Linked DNA regions of Elephas maximus indicus. The protein of the gene in region 1 interacts with the protein of each later gene in a biochemical or structural test. Links are inferred from orthologs where the notes say so. Each region holds a gene or a part of one and is shown on either strand. Other genes may lie near its edges.

Region 1 (8,207 bases):
TCTGTGAATATACTAAACACCACTAAGCTGTAGACTTTAAATGGGTGAATTTTATGGTATGTGAAATACATCAACAAAGCTGTAAAAAAAAAAAAAAATAACACTTTGTGAGGATCAAAAACAAAAAAATGTAAAGATTAAATAGCATAATGTATGTTTAAAAAAAAAAAAAAGAAGGGAGACATGTTCATGGCCAAAGAGCCCCACCTCTGATTCAGTTAGCATTCGTTTTCTGAGCACCTACCTGTGCCAAACATGGGCTGTGTAGCTGGATTGCAAAGGTGAGCGAGGTGGTCCCTGCCCTCAAGAGCTCACAGTTGTCTGGTCCCTACCTGTTAGGTTGTCTATCTTGTCCTTGCTGGCTGTGCTCACAGGTAGGGGAGAAAAACAATGTCTATTGTATGTGTAGGTGGTGTGGCCAACTGAGTCTTAAGATTTTTTAGTTTTTTATTTTGTTTTCAAGTAATGGGGACGGATTTGTGATCTAGCCACATGCTTCTTGTATGCCGTCTCCCCCAGGATGAAGCAGTGGTAAGGATCTCTGAGAAGAGTGATGAGGGCTTGGGGGTATAGCACCTCAAAAAGAGGCAGAGCTGGCAGACTCCTCTGAGGAAGGCTTTCATTTTGGCCTGGCTGTACCTGCCTGGGCTGACTTGGGGCGGCGGGGGGGGGGGGGGTGCGTGGGAAGAAAAAGTTTAATCCAGAAGTTAAGCCAAGCTCATTGTGTCTCTGGTACTCAACATAGTGCCTAGTGCATAATGGGGCCTGTCGAGTTGGCCCCAACTCATGGCACATGAGCCCTAGTGTTAATGGCAACCACAGGGCCATTGTGATCCATAGGGTTTTCATTGGATGATTTTCAGAAGTATATATAGCTAGGCCTTTTTTCCCAGTTCATCCTAGTTTGGAAGCTCCGCTGCAACCTGTTCAGCATCATGGCAACACACAAGACTCCACTGAGAGCTGGTGGCTGTGCATGAGGGGCAGTGGCTGGGAATCAAACCTGGGTCTCCCACATGGGAGGGGAGAATTCTACCACTCAGCCACCACTGCCCCCATGGGGCCTCACATAGGCTGTGCTTAATGAGTTGAAGTGATACCAATTTAGGTTGTTAAATGTCTCCCTGATTGCCTTCCATTAAGAACTCCTGGGTAAAGATTAATTCCAAATGAGAATGGTTTTAGTGTGTGATAGTAATTTTAAAAAGCAGTCCTTAATTTTTGTTGTAATATTATTTGGAATAAATGCCAGGGTGGAAATGGTGTGGTGTAAAGGGGATAATTTCTCCTCTGTCACAGGATCTGGCTGGAATTCTTGTGCCCTGCTGGAGGTTTTCCAAGGCTTGGGGTAAATGTGAGCTCCCATCGATCCCGGGGGGGCTGGACTGAAATTCCCGTCTGATTTAGGCCTTATCGGAGAAGCTCAAACTTACATTCCAGGAGGCTAGGCAGGGAACTTACCTGAACCCTGTGGGCTGTGTGGGGTCTGTGGTGAACCAGCGAGCAGAAGTCTCTTCTACAGCGGCCACTCAGTGTCAGGCTATAATGCTCCTTTGGCCACCGAGGCCTGGAGTTGCCACTGAGGCCTGGAGTTGCCACAAATCCCACTTTTTTGAGAGAGGCTGGACATTCAGATTCTTAGGTAAAATCTCCTGATTTTTGAATATTATATGGTCCAACCAAAACATAGCTATGATCCAGTTTTGTTTTTGTTTTTATTGTGGTAAATACATATGCAGCAAATCGTTTGCCATTTCAACATTACTCACGTGTACAATTCAGTGGTATTAAATATGTTTAGCATGTTTCCACTTTTTTATTTTGACTTTCTTCCCATCAACAGTTTTGGCCCCTGAACCTGCAGTAATCCAATGGTGTGTGGAAGTAGGTCCCCTCCTACCTCCCTATGGTGGCAAAGGACTGTGAAGATGAAGCCATCCTAGTCAAGGCTCTGAGTCGGGTGAAGGAGCTGTGGCGCTAACAATGGTGTGCAGTGGCCGGATAGTTGGGTGAAATCAGAGAGAGGGCAGCCTGTCTGAAGGAAGGCTGAGAACTGTGCTCATCCAGGACACCCTCTCTTGTGGGTGTGGCAGAGAGCAATTGCCCTATGGGGTGCCCATACTGAGGGCTTGTACCCCAAACGGTCCTCATTTACCTCTAGTGGCTCTGTCAACCCTGCATGTGTCTAAGCTAGTGGTCTTATAGGAAAAAATCTTTAGAGGCCAGGCAGGAATGAAACTTCATGGCTGTGGTTGTAGGAAGACTGCTGCTTGTGTAAAACACATTCCCAAGCATTACTTGTAGTCTCCGAGACCCTTCTGAAACCCATTTTTCTATCTGACCTGTTCTTCCTCTTGAGCTAACACATGCCATATGTTTAAATACCTGCTGTGTAGAGTAAATTAGGGAGAAAAAAAACTATATATAGGTTCGCTATGAGTCAGAATTGCCTCAACGGCAATGGGTTTGGTTTTGGTTTTTTATATATGTACGTGTGTGTGTGTGTGTAGTTGTGAGCTGTCGAGTCGATTCCAACTCATAGTGACCCTATAGGGCAGAGTAGAACTGCCCCATAGGGTTTCCAACGAGCAGTTGGTGGATTCGAACTGCAGACCTTTGGTTAGTAACCTGAGCTCTTAACCACTTTGCCACCAGGGCTCCATATATATATGGTAAAGTTTTTATATATACATATATATATATTTATTTCACAAATCATTTGAACATAATTTTGGCATTTCTCAAAATCTTTGGATTGTGAATTACAGTAAGAAATGTAGTTGACATGGCCATCCAGTACATACGTACATCGAGGCATATAAAATTGACAGTATTCCACCCCTTTGGCCTGTAAAACTGCAATTTCAAATGGTTCAATCTATATATAACTCAATGCAACAAAACTTATTCTCGTGTTTTGTGATACCTATTAATTTTTATTCTTTTAAATTCTGGTTGCAGTACCTAAATTGATTTCATTACCACTAATGGGTCACAATTAATCTCCGCAATAATTTTTAAGGCAGGCATCATCACCATTTTCCACCCATCCACTTAAAAACACTGAGATCTATCCCAGGGTTGAGGTGACCTCACCCCAGGTAGCTCCTATTTACTCTTCACTGACCCTTTAGTGGTGCAGGTGGTGCAGTGGTTAAGCACTCAGCTGCTAACTGAAAGGTCAGCTGTTTAAACCCACCAGCCACTGTGGGAGGAGGATGTGGCAGTCTGCTTCCTTAAAGATTATAGCCTTGGAAACCCTACGGGACAGTTCTACTCTGTTCTCTGGGGTCTCTATGAATCAGAATCAACTCGATGGCCATGGGTTGGGACCCTTTAGTCTTTATCTGATGTAATCTGCATACGAACCTCATAGGATGGGCACCATCATCTAAGAATACGGAGTTTGGAAAGGTCAAGTCACTTGTTTCCAGGCATAGGACTAGGTAGAGGAAGATTCTACTTGTAAATAATTTCTGCAACAGCGAAAAGCCCAAGCTATTTTCACTGCTTTGGCGATAAGACCCAGACCAGGACTTCTTACCATGGACCTGGACTTCGAAGCGTCCCAGTTCTAATCTTTTTTTTCTCTTCCGGACTTTTTCTTGGCTTTCCAGAGAAAGGGGTGTGTGTGTGTGTGTAGAAAGGGGTGTGTGTGTGTGTAGAAAGGGTGTGTGTGTGTGTGTGTGTGTGTGTGTGTAGAAAGGGGTGTGTGTGTGTGTGTGTGTGTGTGTGTGTAGAAAGGGGTGTGTGTGTGTGTGTAGAAAGGGGTGTGTGTGTGTGTGTGTGTGTGGCTTTCCAGAGAGATGTGTGTGTGTGTGTGTGTGTGTGTGCGTGTGGCTTTCTAGAGAGATGTGTGTGAGTGTGCGCGCGCGGTTATGCTTAAACTTTCCGCCAGGCTGTACTTTTTCTCTATGAGTCGGAAGCGACTGTACAGCAACGGGTTTGGGTTTGTTTTTGTTTTTGTTTTTTTAATACTTTCAGGCCTTTGCACAGGCTGTGGGGTGCCCTTTATCCTCGGGATCACCCCCTCCCCCAGCCCAGCCTGCAGCTGGAAGTCTTCACTGATCTCCAGCTCTCCTCCCTACCCCCATCGGGAACCTGAAGGCGACTGTCTCGCCCGGCCCTTTCCAGATGTACGTCTGCCAAAGACACCCCAGTGTAGAGGATGATGAATGAGAACAGGGGAGCAGGCCTGGTGGGAAAGTGTCGTCGCCATGAAAAGAGAGGGAAAGGGAAGGAAAGTTGGGGGGAGGGGAATGCTTAGAGTGGAACAGCGGGGGCGCGACAAGTCTGGACGCTGGGAACCCAAACCCCCTCCGCTGGGCCAGTAAGTTTGTCTCCCTCAGAAAGGCGTGGGGAAGTGTTCCAATCCCTGCACTCCTTCCTTAGAATTTGGGTTGTATTTTCTTATTTACTGCAACCCCCACAATATCCTCAGGGGCTCCCCCAGTGTTTGGTTCCAGCCTTCTCAGTCCCCGGCTCCCAGTCTGCTCCCTCTCCTTCGCGAGGCAACGCTCCAGCCCTCTCCCGGGCTTTCTCTCCGCACGTCCCTCCCAATTCTCTCCACCATTCTCTACTTGGGGGGGCGGAGCCGTACCTCCTCTTCTGTTTCTTTAAGAAGCGTCGGCTCCTCCCCTTTGGGAGTCGCCGTCTGACGCGAGATGACAGCAGCGAGTTCGGTATGTCTATGCAAATAAGAGCCTCCTGAGGGCCAATGGGGAGCGGAAGTGCCGGAACCGCGGACCAATGGGGCGGGGGCGCTGGGGCTCACCATATAAGGAGCAGCCTCGCCATAAAAGGAAACATTGTATCTCTTTATATGGGGGGAAGGGTCGGGGGATCCCTCCGCCGCCAGCGCGTGGTCGCGGCCCCCTCCACCCGCCGTCTCGGCCGCGGCCAGCAGCCCCTGCCCCCCGGGGGACGCTGACGGCCGCCGGGCGCGCCGCCCGAGCACACGGACAGGGGGCGCTGCGCGCGGCCTGGGGCAACCCGGGCCACAGGGGCAGGAAAGTGAGGGCCCAGGTCGGCCCGGGCGTGCAGGGGCCCCGGGTTCGCTGCGGCGGCAGCTACAGCGATAGCGGCTCTAGAAGCATCAGGAGCGCGGGGTTGAGCCGGGAAGCCGATGGCGGCGGCAGCAGCGGCTCCGATTCCTCGCTGACTGCCCGTCCACCCTTCTGCATTGAGCGCCATGTTACCGAGCCAAGCTGGGGCCGCGGCGGCGCTGGGCCGGGGCTCGGCCCTGGGAGGCAGCCTGAACCGGACCTCGACGGGACGGCCGGGCGGTGGAGGTGGTGGCGGCGGCGGGACTCGCGGGGCTAACGGGGCCCGGGTCCCCGGGAACGGCGCGGGGCTCGGGCCGGGCCGCCTGGAGCGGGAGGCTGCAGCAGCGGCGGCAAGCGCCCCGGCGCCCACCGCGGGGGCCCTCTACAGCGGCAGCGAGGGCGACTCGGAGTCGGGCGAGGAGGAGGAGCTGGGCACCGAGCGGCGCGGCCTGAAACGGAGCCTGAGTGAGATGGAGCTCGGCGTGGTGGTCGGTGGGCCCGAGGCGTCGGCGGCGGCCACCGGGGGTTACGGGCCGGTGAGCGGCGCGGTGAGCGGGGCCAAGCCGGGTAAGAAGACCCGGGGCCGCGTGAAGATCAAGATGGAGTTCATCGACAACAAGCTGCGGCGCTACACGACCTTCAGCAAGAGGAAGACAGGCATCATGAAGAAGGTACCAGGCGGGGAGGCTGGCCGGCCACGGGGGACCGAGAAGGGGTGGGGACGCGCAGGGGGAGCCCGGGAGGAAGGCAGAGTCGAGGCGAAGGTGAGAGGCGGCGAATCCGCAGGAGGTGTGTGGGAGGAGATGGCTGTTACCGGAGTAGGGCGAAAGGGGTGGGGCGGTCAGGGAAATGTGGGGAGAGGGGAGATGCAGCGAACGTCCGGGGAAGAAGGGAAAGGCGCCGAGGTGGGAGTGACGGGCACCAGAGAGGAAGAGGGCCCTAGCGAGTGAAGGGGTAAGGAGGGGTAATGGGAAGCTGCAAGGCTGCCGGTACGGCATCTGATGAGACATAGGGGTCAGTAGGTCTTGTACTCCCGGCGCTGGGGCGAGGGAACGCTGGAAAGGCAGGGTGCAGAAGAGAAGGTAGGGAGGTGAAGAGCCTGGAGCTGGGAGGGTAGCTGTAATGACAACAATGAGCAAGCATGTGTGGGAGGAAGGTGGGCACCACCTGAGTAGTGCTGGCTGGAAAGACAGGCGGAACCTATCCGGGCTCAAGGGCCCCAGGTAAGGGAATAGGGCGGGAAAAGTGGTGTTGCCGTGAGCAGCAGGGACCAAGCCTTGCAATGACCATGTGTCTTCCATTGCCATCCCCTGGAAGCCGGCATCCTTCTAGTGGGACAGGCTGTGGAACCACCTGCCTTTGGGACAAATGTGGTTTTCAGCCCAAGGCAAAATCTGTGCATGGAATTTGGGAGAAAAACAGGGAGGTTTGCAGAGAAACATAGAAATTCCTCCTATGCCAGCCAGTTATCCAGTGAAAAGGAGTGAGGAGAAGAGGCATCTTGGGATGTAGAAGATGGGAAGGGATGGAAGCAGAGAAAATGGGAGCTAAGGAACTAGAACCTTGGGGGCTTTGGCCGTGTTTATATCTGTACCACATAGAAACCGGAGCTGCTCCCAAGGTGGGGTGTGGAACTTTCTTGGGAATGAGTGTGGCATCTGTAGGGTCATCCTTGAGGGCTCCCCGGTGTGTATTCACGGTGGGGTAAAACGCTTTGCCCTCAAGTCGATTCTGACTCATAGCAATCCTTTAGGACGGAGTAGAACTGCCTCATAGAGTTTCCAAGGAGCGCCTGGTGGATTCAGACAGCTGACCTTTTGGTTAGCAGCCACTTAACCGCTACGCCACGCCATGTTGGGGTGGTAGGTACTAATCTAGTCCCCACCTCGCATCACTCCCAACATTGCTGTATCAGTGTCCCTTGTCACTTAATCATTAGTGGAGAAGGTTGAGTGGGGAGCTTCATGGAGGAAAGACTGCTTTTTCCTCCCTTACTTATCCTGCCTCCCCATGAAAAAGAAAAAAGGGTAGTACAGTATTGCAGGGCAGAAGGACAACCAAGGCCCTGGCAACAGGTTAGGGCCTGTTGCAATTTCTGGGAAGACATATGGGACAGTTTGGAGCTTAGGTATCCCCTTATCCCTCATATCTTATATGACTTTCCATGTGGTCAGGACCCCATCCTGGTTCCTGTGACACTGTGGAGGGAGTGGGAGCCATCTCTCTGAAACACCAAGCTGTGGTGGGGTGCAGCTAACTGGACCCCTCTGGGTCACCTGTGGTCATATGTTCTGTCACCAGGCGGTGACTGTTTGCTTCAGGGATCTGCAGTTTGGTGGTATAACTCAAAGAAGCATGGATAGTTTTGCTGCTCCCCAGATCACCTTCTGATATCCTGATAGGACCCTAGAGTCACTGGAGAGGAAGGTCACGGGAGTTGGGGCTTGAGATCACTGTGGTCTTTTTCTCTTTTTTACTTTTAAAGCCAGGTCGGAATGAAAGTGAAAAGTTTTCTGACCTGCCCATCTTACCCCCCACTGCAGGCCTATGAACTGTCCACACTAACAGGGACACAGGTGCTGTTGCTGGTGGCCAGTGAGACAGGCCATGTGTATACCTTTGCCACCCGGAAACTGCAGCCCATGATCACCAGTGAGACAGGCAAGGCACTGATTCAGACCTGCCTCAACTCGCCAGACTCTCCACCTCGCTCAGACCCCACCACAGACCAGAGAATGAGTGCCACGGGCTTCGAAGAGACAGACCTCACCTACCAGGTGTCCGAGTCCGACAGTAGTGGGGAGACCAAGGTGTGTTTGGGTCACCTATCTGAGGGGAGGGAAGAGGAGAGGATTGATGGGCAGAGAAAGGAGGAGGTCCCTCTCCCTCCGTCACCCAAGAAGAATGGTGGATAGGTGCCTGCGGATGTGGAGTGGGTGTTAGTGCCTCTCATCCTGGGGGACAGGTGTTCATCCTCGCCATCCTGACACGAGGCCCGCCCCCTAGATAAGCGGGCGGCCTCCGTGCCCATATAAGGCCGGCTCCGGCTCCACGCCGGCCTCCCGCCCGCAACCCAACTGCCTGGCAGGGCCCTTGCATTCCTCCCGCCAGCTGTCTTCCCGCTGGGGGGCGGGGGGAGCGGGGGTGTAGCTTAGCCCTGCC
Region 2 (7,961 bases), on another chromosome or scaffold:
AACTCTACCATCCTATGATTCTGTGATGTGTTCTCACCCTGAGGCAAAGCTATTGACCCACAAAAAATTAATGCTGATTTGCATGTAATGCAATATGCATGCATCTAGGTCCTACTGAAATGCATAAGCGCTCCTTCCACCCAATCTTCACCTAGTCTTCATTAATAATGAATACTCAGAGACTAAGATACAGCTATTGGTCTCTACTTGTCTGGAACAAAAGAAAGAAACCAAAGACTCGATGAAGAAACTGGTCTACAGGATGAATAGTTCACACAAACCACAGCCTCATCTACCCTGAGACCAGAAGAACTAGATGGTACCTGACTACAACTACCAACCATCTTAATTAAGGCCACCATAGACGGACCCTGATAGAATAAGAGAAAAATGTGGAACAGAACCTGAAATTCTTAAAAACAAAACAACAACAAAAAACCAGACCTACTGGACTGGTTAAGACTAGACAACTCCCAAAACTACTGGCCTGAGATACTCACCAAACCTTGAACCAAAACTAACCCCTGAGGTCACCGTGTAGCTGAATAACAAATTGGCTCAAAAAGTAATGAATATCATCTGTAAGTACTGTGCTTTTTAAAAAAATCACCTACATGAGACCACATGGTCAACAGTTACTTTAATACAAAGATGAGAATATAAGGGGGCAGGGAAACTAGATTAATGGAAACGGAACAACCAGAATGGAAATCATGAGAATATTCATGCACTGTGAAGGATGCAGCCAATGTCAGTGAACAACTTGTATAGAAATTGTTGAATGGGAACATAAACTGCTGTGTAAACCTTCAACGAAAGCACAATAAAATATTACTAAAATAATCATAATAATAATACCCAGAGACCTAGCCTAGGGAAACAAAAGATGGGGTCTGTTTGGAGAAGCCAGAGGTTCCCACCCTGCCAGACCCTTCTCCTTCTTGTTTCTATTCCGAAGCACATGAGATGCTCAGTGAGAAATTTGTTTTGATTTTAGCCAAGCAACCTGGCAGCCCAGGTAAGCCCACTTGCCAGGTAAGCAGGGCCTGGAAGATGCTAGAGGTCAGAGAGCTGGGATTACCGTGTGTGGCACAGCGGAAAGGAAGGAGCAGGGAGTAGGTGAAGGGTATTTCTGAGCACTTTGAAATCCCACCGCTACTATGCAAATGGGATCAGCCCAGCATGCAAATAGAATCAAGTTGAGAGAGTCCAAGCAGAGGAGCAAACAGCCTGGTCCTGAAGCCCCAGCAGGGGGATAAGGGCTTCCTCTGGAGAGAGCAGGACTGCTAGAAGAGAAAGCTCCAGTCGGGGGCAGGGGGTCCTGTGTGCCCAAGCCAGCAGGGGTGGGGATTAGGGCTGGACGGCCCCCCGCTGTCAGGTTAGAGCTGATGGATCGCCGCTGGTGGTGGAGCACAAAGGCTGCTCTGTGCTTGGCACCAATGTGTTCCCATCCATCAGAGGACAGCTCCTGGGGGTGGAGGGGTGTGCAGGAGGAGGAAAGCTGAGCTTCTAGATGCAGCTTCTCCACAGCTCAGCTCTGAGAGAGGAATAAGGTGGGTAACAGGGTGTTGGGAGGTCAGAGATACCTGAGGAGTCCCTGGGTGGTGCAAATGGTTAATGTACTCAGCTGCCAGCCAAAAGGTTGGAGGTTCGAGTCCACATCAGAAGCACCTCAGAAGAAAGGCCCAGAGATCTAATGCTAAAAAATCAGCCATTGAAAACCTTATGGAGCACAGTTCTACTCTGACACACATGGGATCGCCATGAGTTGGAGTTGACTCAAAGACAACTGGTGGTGGTGGTAGAAATACCTGAGTCTCCTCTAAAGATTAAAGCCTAGAAAACCCTATGGGGCAGTTCTACTCTGTCATATAGGGTTGCTGTGAGTCAGAATCAACTCGATGGCACACAACAACAAAAACGACCACTTTCTACCTTGAGTAAACAACTTTGGGTACTTATTTTCCTTACTCAACTGTGAGTACTTCAAAGGCCAAAAGACCATGTCTTATTCAGGTTAGTGACCTTATCATCTCGCACAAGGTGCTCAATACATGTGTCTTGATTGAAGGACTAAATGAATAAATCTGCACATGCATGGTGGAGTCAGGTTTTCCCTCCCCCATTTGTGCTACTCTGGTTTCCTGGAGGCAATGAGCACAGCCAGGGAAACACCCTGTGAAGGAGAACAATGAGTCTAAGGGGGGAGTGGTAATGATCAGGAGTAGAGAAAAGGACAACACAAGGAAAAGGACTAACATTTATTCCGTGTTTCCATGTTCCGGGTGCCATTCCAATTAATACAACAAATCACCCCCTATGAGAAACACACATACACACCATTCTTTTTTGCCAGCCTGAACAGTGGATCCTGTCTGGGTGGATGATCCATCCTCATGCCTCTGAGTGGGTTGATCAGACCTTCATCACCTTATTCCTGGATTACTGTCATGTTCTATTTGGTCTCCTCACCTCAGTATTCAATCAAGTTCTTCCATGCCCAGTTGAGCTTCCACCCGTTTTTGCAGACTTGTCCCCAGTCACCACCTTACGTGAACCTGAGCTCCATACAGACTGATCTACCCAATGCCCCCTTTGCTCTCCAGAGAGATCTCCATTTCCCATCCAAATCCTGCTTGTTCTCCATGGCCCAGCCTGTGTTCTCCTCCTCGTCCGGCCTTCCTCAGAGACCCTGGCCTTCCATGGTTTTGCCTTTCTATAAACAACTGAAATACTTCTTTGATGAATCCACTCATTTGCAGTTGATCATGGCCCCCATGTTTGCCCTTGAATTAAAATAGCTCTGTCTTGCATTGTCATTTAGCATCCACATTTCAGTGTCCATGCTCACCAGAACTAGATAGTAAGATCCTGGAAACCATCATACAACAAACCCATTTCTCTTTCAGTTTTTGAGGAAGTAGAGACATTGTTTAAGGGTAAGTCAGATTCAATCCCAAAAGGATAAAAAATGCAGCTTCTGGATTTCCATAATAGCTTCAACATCATGTCTTTTCTCAGGGCTCACAGGATTAGTGTGTAAACTGAGGCAAAGCGTTTGTTTTTTCCTTTCTTTGTTGGTGGTGAGGGGAGTGTGTCTTGGGAGTAGAGATTCTTTCTTTTTCAGCCCAATTGGTTGGGGCCAAAGAAGGTTTAGAACTCCCAGCCCCCATGCGGCCACCTTCCGTGGTGCTGGTTAGGACAAGAATCACATTAGGACTTCACTGCCCCCCTAACATGCTCAGGGCTCCTTTGTTGTCCATCTATGTCCCCTCCTCATCTCTGTGTCCTGCCCCAAAAGGACACCAGGATGTTCCTGGCTCCATGTCATGGATAACAAGAGGAGGTAAGGCAGATGTCTTCAACCGCCATTCAGATCTCACCTACCCTGCAGAGTCTTCCCTGAGCCCCAAGCATGGTTTCTCTTCCTCTTACTGTCCTCGCCACTGGCTTGAATTATAAGATCAATATCATCTGTCATATGTTGGGGGAGTCAGACTTAATCTGTAGGGTCCTAGAGGGAAGAACTGGGACCAAAGGGTGAAGGATAGAGGGGGCAGATTGCAGGTCAAAACCCAGGACTCCCTGTGGCCACAGCTGCACAGCAGTGGAATGGGTGGGCTTGTGAGGTCAGCACAAGCTGGACAATGGCTACCTGGAGAGGGGGTTCAGGCATTAGGTGTGGTGTAAACTAGGTGGCCACTGTGGTCTACTAGATGGTAAGGTCCTCAAAGGTAGAGACCCTGCCTTTGGCTTCCCTGTAATCCCTCAGTGCTGAGACTGAGTCTTGTCCACTGTTGGTATCTGAGGCCTGCCCAGTGCACTGGGAGGAATGAGTCCTCTCAGACCCCGAGGCCTCTACTGAAAGGTGATCATGGGCTGAGAACCTGAAAGGTTAAATAGTCACTCCTTCACTTGACACTTGAGACCTGTACAATATGTGTAAATTGGTGGCACAGACAGGAAGAGGCAGACCAACCAAGCCAGATGATCAAGAAGAACAGAGATTTAAACTGAGTCTGAAGGGCCCTACTTTCTCTCCTTCTCATTTCATCCACCATAAGGAATCAGGAAAATTCTGGTGTCCTAATGGGGCTAAATGCTATGGCTGCTAACCTAAAGGTCAGCAGTTCAAATCCGCCAGGAGCTCCTTGGAAACTCTATGGGGCAGCTCTACTCCGTTCTATAGGGTCACTATGAGTTGGAATTGACTCGACAGCAACGGGTTTGGGTTTTTTTTTTTTTTAATGGGGCTAGAAACAGAGTTGAGGAGGACACAGAAGGACAATAAGTGATCCAGAGTGAAGGAGGGAAGAGATGGAGGGTTTAATAGTGGATAACACTGTGAGGAGGAGGCAAGGTGTAGCTGCAAATTCTAATACCCACTCTTACTCTGACCAGCTGTATTAAAAGAAAAATTTCCCCTGACTCTGCCAAAAACAAAAACAAAACCAAAAATCCTTTTGCCTCAATTTCCCTGCAATCACACAAGACCTGAGAGAATACATGATGTCAAACCTACTTTGGAAACCCGAAGCTGAATCTATTTGTCTTTTGAGTTTCACTCCTTCTTATCCCTGGTCAGCGAGTACCCCACATGTCCTCAAAATTTGAAGCAGTGTTGTTCTTTGGGAAGGGGGTTCTTCAAGAGTTTTATCTGACTGACATAGTCTGGTTAAGGTGCTGGTCAGGAAGCAGGGGGATGGATAAATTGGCTTCTTAAGGTCCCTTCCAGCCTGAACCCACCTCTTCCTTGCCCCCCACCCCCCGCCCCTTCAGCTTCTTTGGGACTAGCAAGAAGAGAGCAGGCAGGCGCCCAGCTAGGAGTAATTGAAGGGAGCAGATGAGAGGAGAATGCCTGTCCTCCCCCACCTCCCCTGTCCCACGGGAGAAATGAAAACTAATCAAATTACACCCGACGGCCTCCCTGCCCGTGCACAGGAGCCGGCCTGGGCCAGGGGCAGGCTGGATGGGTGGGGTGGGGGCCGTGGGGGAGAGGGAAGGGGAATCACATCTAATCCACTGTAAACGTCTTGATGTGCAGCAACAGCTTAGAGGGGGGCTCAGGTTTCTGTGGCGTTAGCTATATTTATCTCTGGTTCCATGCCAGCAGGGAAGGTTTAAATGGCACCCAGCAGTTGGCGTGAGGGGCTGCAGGAGCTTGGGGGCTGGTGGCAGGAACAAGTCTTTCCCGACCCCATGGAGCTGTATGAGACATCCCCCTACTTCTACCAGGAACCCCGCTTTTATGATGGGGAAAACTACCTGCCCGTTCACCTCCAGGGCTTTGAGCCTCCGGGCTATGAGCGGACTGAGCTCGGCCTGAGCCCTGAGGCCCGAGGGCCCCTAGAAGACAAGGGGCTGGGGACCCCAGAACACTGCCCAGGCCAGTGCCTCCCGTGGGCGTGTAAGGTGTGTAAGAGGAAGTCGGTGTCCGTGGACCGGCGGCGGGCAGCCACGCTGAGGGAGAAACGCAGGCTCAAGAAGGTGAATGAGGCCTTCGAGGCCCTGAAAAGGAGCACCCTGCTCAACCCCAACCAGCGGCTGCCCAAGGTGGAGATCCTGCGCAGCGCCATCCAGTATATTGAGCGCCTGCAAGCCCTGCTCAGCACCCTCAACCAGGAGGAGCGTGACCTCCGCTACCGAGGCGGGGGCGGGCCCCAGCCAGGGGTAAGTGGCCATCCCATCCACCTGGCCCAGGGGGAGTGGGCCAGAGGGAGGCACTTGGACAGCCTCAGGACAGCACAAAGGGGCTTAGAGGGTTAAAGCCAGTGCCAGGCAGAGGGGTCTTGAGGGGCTGCAGGACTCCTGCCTTTGTCAGAGCTGCGTCTGTCCAGCTGACCACATATGTCCCCATGTCCTTTCCCGACACGATAAAGGCGATGGGAGGAGGTGCAATTGGGGTATGTGTGCTCTGAACTGTAGGAGGGACACAGGAACACGTCCATGTCAGCCCGCTGGGGGAGGATTAATCCCGGGGCCTGGAGATAGGTCCAAAGAGCAAGGCCAAGCTCATCGGAGAAGATCGCTTTGCCCCCACCCCACCCTCACCCTGGGTGTGGCTGAGCAGAGCAAAAACCAATCCCCCTCAGCCCCACTGGAACCCAGAAGGCCTGAGCAGAAGTGGCCCTGCTCAGGCCAGACACTCTGCCTCCTTCAGCCTTACCCCAGAGGCAGGAAACCAAGGGGCCCTTTAAGCTGGGTGTCTTGTGAGGGCAGAATCACCTCCCAGGGTCAAGGCCACGGAAGGCCTGGAAGCAGAGGCTCTGGGTCAGGTTGGGGGTGTGAAAGGAGCCAGCTGTGAAGATTCTTGAGTGGGGGGTGGCCTGGGCTGAAGGGGTGCCATCCAGGACCCACCCTCCAACCCCACCACAGATGCTTCTGCCCAAGGGGATTGGTCAGAGACGTCTGAGAATGGCTGTGTCCCGACCTTGGGCTTCCCCCGCCCGCCACCCTGCTATCTTGCAGGTGCCCAGTGACTGCAGCTCCCACAGCGCCTCCTGCAGTCCAGAGTGGGGCAGCGCACTAGAGTTCGGACCCAACCCAGGAGGTAAGTGAGGCCTGGATCCTGGTAACCTTGGCTCAGATCCCTCAGTTCCCATCCCCTTTTCAGCCCCCTAGGCCCAGTTCTCCCCTCTTACCTTATTTCCTGCTCCAGCTCTCTTTCCTTGGCCTCTCCTTGGAACTGTTGAACCCAGGTTCCCAAGCATGCCTCCCTGAGACCTTGACCAGCGAAGGAGGCCTCCTACAGTGCCCCAGCTGGTGCCCGGGAGCTGACCTTCTCCACAGAGAGGAGAATGCTCCTGCCCCAGGGGTCCCTGGGAACTGCTGAGTCAGTGCTGCAAAACTGGGCCCAGCAAAGGGCAGTTCCAGTCTCCAAGGATACACTGCCCTGGCTGCACCTCGGAATAGCTGCTCCCAAATCCTAGCCCCACTAGGGGAGCTCAGGGAGGAGGCACACACACACGCGCGCGCGCGCACACACACACACACACACACACACCGGGCATTTGGAAAGGCACGGGCTGGGGAGTAGGATTCCTGAGTTTTGCTTGCCCATCTGTCCTGAAAAACCTATGACACCCCAAGGGGTTCATTCCCTATTCTGGGCCTCAAGACCCCCTTCACCCCCCCCAGGTCACACCCTCCCCACCTTCTCCTTGCAGATCACCTGCTCACACCCGACCCTGCGGATGCCCACAACCTGCACTCCCTCACCTCTATCGTGGACAGCATCACAGTGGAGGATGTTTCTGTGGCCTTCGCAGACGAAAGCATGCCCAACTGAGATGGTCTGCCAGGCCAGGCATACGGATGCCCCCAAACTGGCCAGAGCCACCACCACTTCTGCAGCAGGGGCCTCCTAAACCAGGCTGTCCTGATGCCAGGAAGGCAGCCCCAGGGCTGCCAAATGCCAGACTATCCTCTCCTCCTCTACGTAAGGTTAACCTACCACCCAGTGGGGGAATGGACTCCCTCATTCAGCTGACTCCTTAGAGCAGAGGGCATCCTGTTTCACGGGAGACAAAGCAGGGGACCAGAGCACCCCCTTGTGTATGCCCCCTGGGTAAAGGGGCAAACTCAGGAGCTTCCCTTTTAACATAATGCAGCCTCCAACTCCCACTTACCTAAAGAAACATGTCAAGAGACAAAGTCAGTGTCCTGACCTGGACAAGCTGTGCACTCCTGCTTTTGTCTCTTCTGAAGCCAGGGGCTGGGCTGGGCCTGCCCTGAATTGAGGGAGGAGAAAGTGGGGGGGGGGGGGAACAATCTTGTTCCTAAGTCCATGGGGGGCCAAGCTTTTGCAGTGACTATTGGGAACCTTCCAGAGGTTTATGTTTTGTTTTGTTTTGTGTGTTGTTTGTAAAACAGCCATCTGACCAAGGTCTCCTGTGCTGAAGTTGCCAGGAACAGGCAGGGAGGGGGGAGGGGGACTCTTGGGGTGATTTCTTTTGTTAACT

What was found. The genes of interacting proteins can lie anywhere in the genome.
Region 2: the proteins of SRF (region 1) and MYOG form a complex in vitro, tested with the Homo sapiens proteins (2 studies listed by BioGRID and IntAct). The link is inferred for Elephas maximus indicus from reciprocal best matches to the Homo sapiens genes SRF and MYOG.

What each region holds. Positions count from the first base shown.
Region 1 is NC_064819.1:107,560,105-107,568,311, forward strand, and holds the start of SRF (serum response factor), read left to right. Parts: upstream 1-4,837; 5' UTR 4,838-5,191; coding exon 5,192-5,716; intron 5,717-7,588; coding exon 7,589-7,855; intron 7,856-8,207. UniProt on the Homo sapiens protein: SRF is a transcription factor that binds to the serum response element (SRE), a short sequence of dyad symmetry located 300 bp to the 5' of the site of transcription initiation of some genes (such as FOS).
Region 2 is NC_064836.1:11,997,918-12,005,878, reverse strand, and holds MYOG (myogenin), read left to right. Parts: upstream 1-5,199; coding exon 5,200-5,670; intron 5,671-6,468; coding exon 6,469-6,550; intron 6,551-7,166; coding exon 7,167-7,288; downstream 7,289-7,961. UniProt on the Homo sapiens protein: Acts as a transcriptional activator that promotes transcription of muscle-specific target genes and plays a role in muscle differentiation, cell cycle exit and muscle atrophy.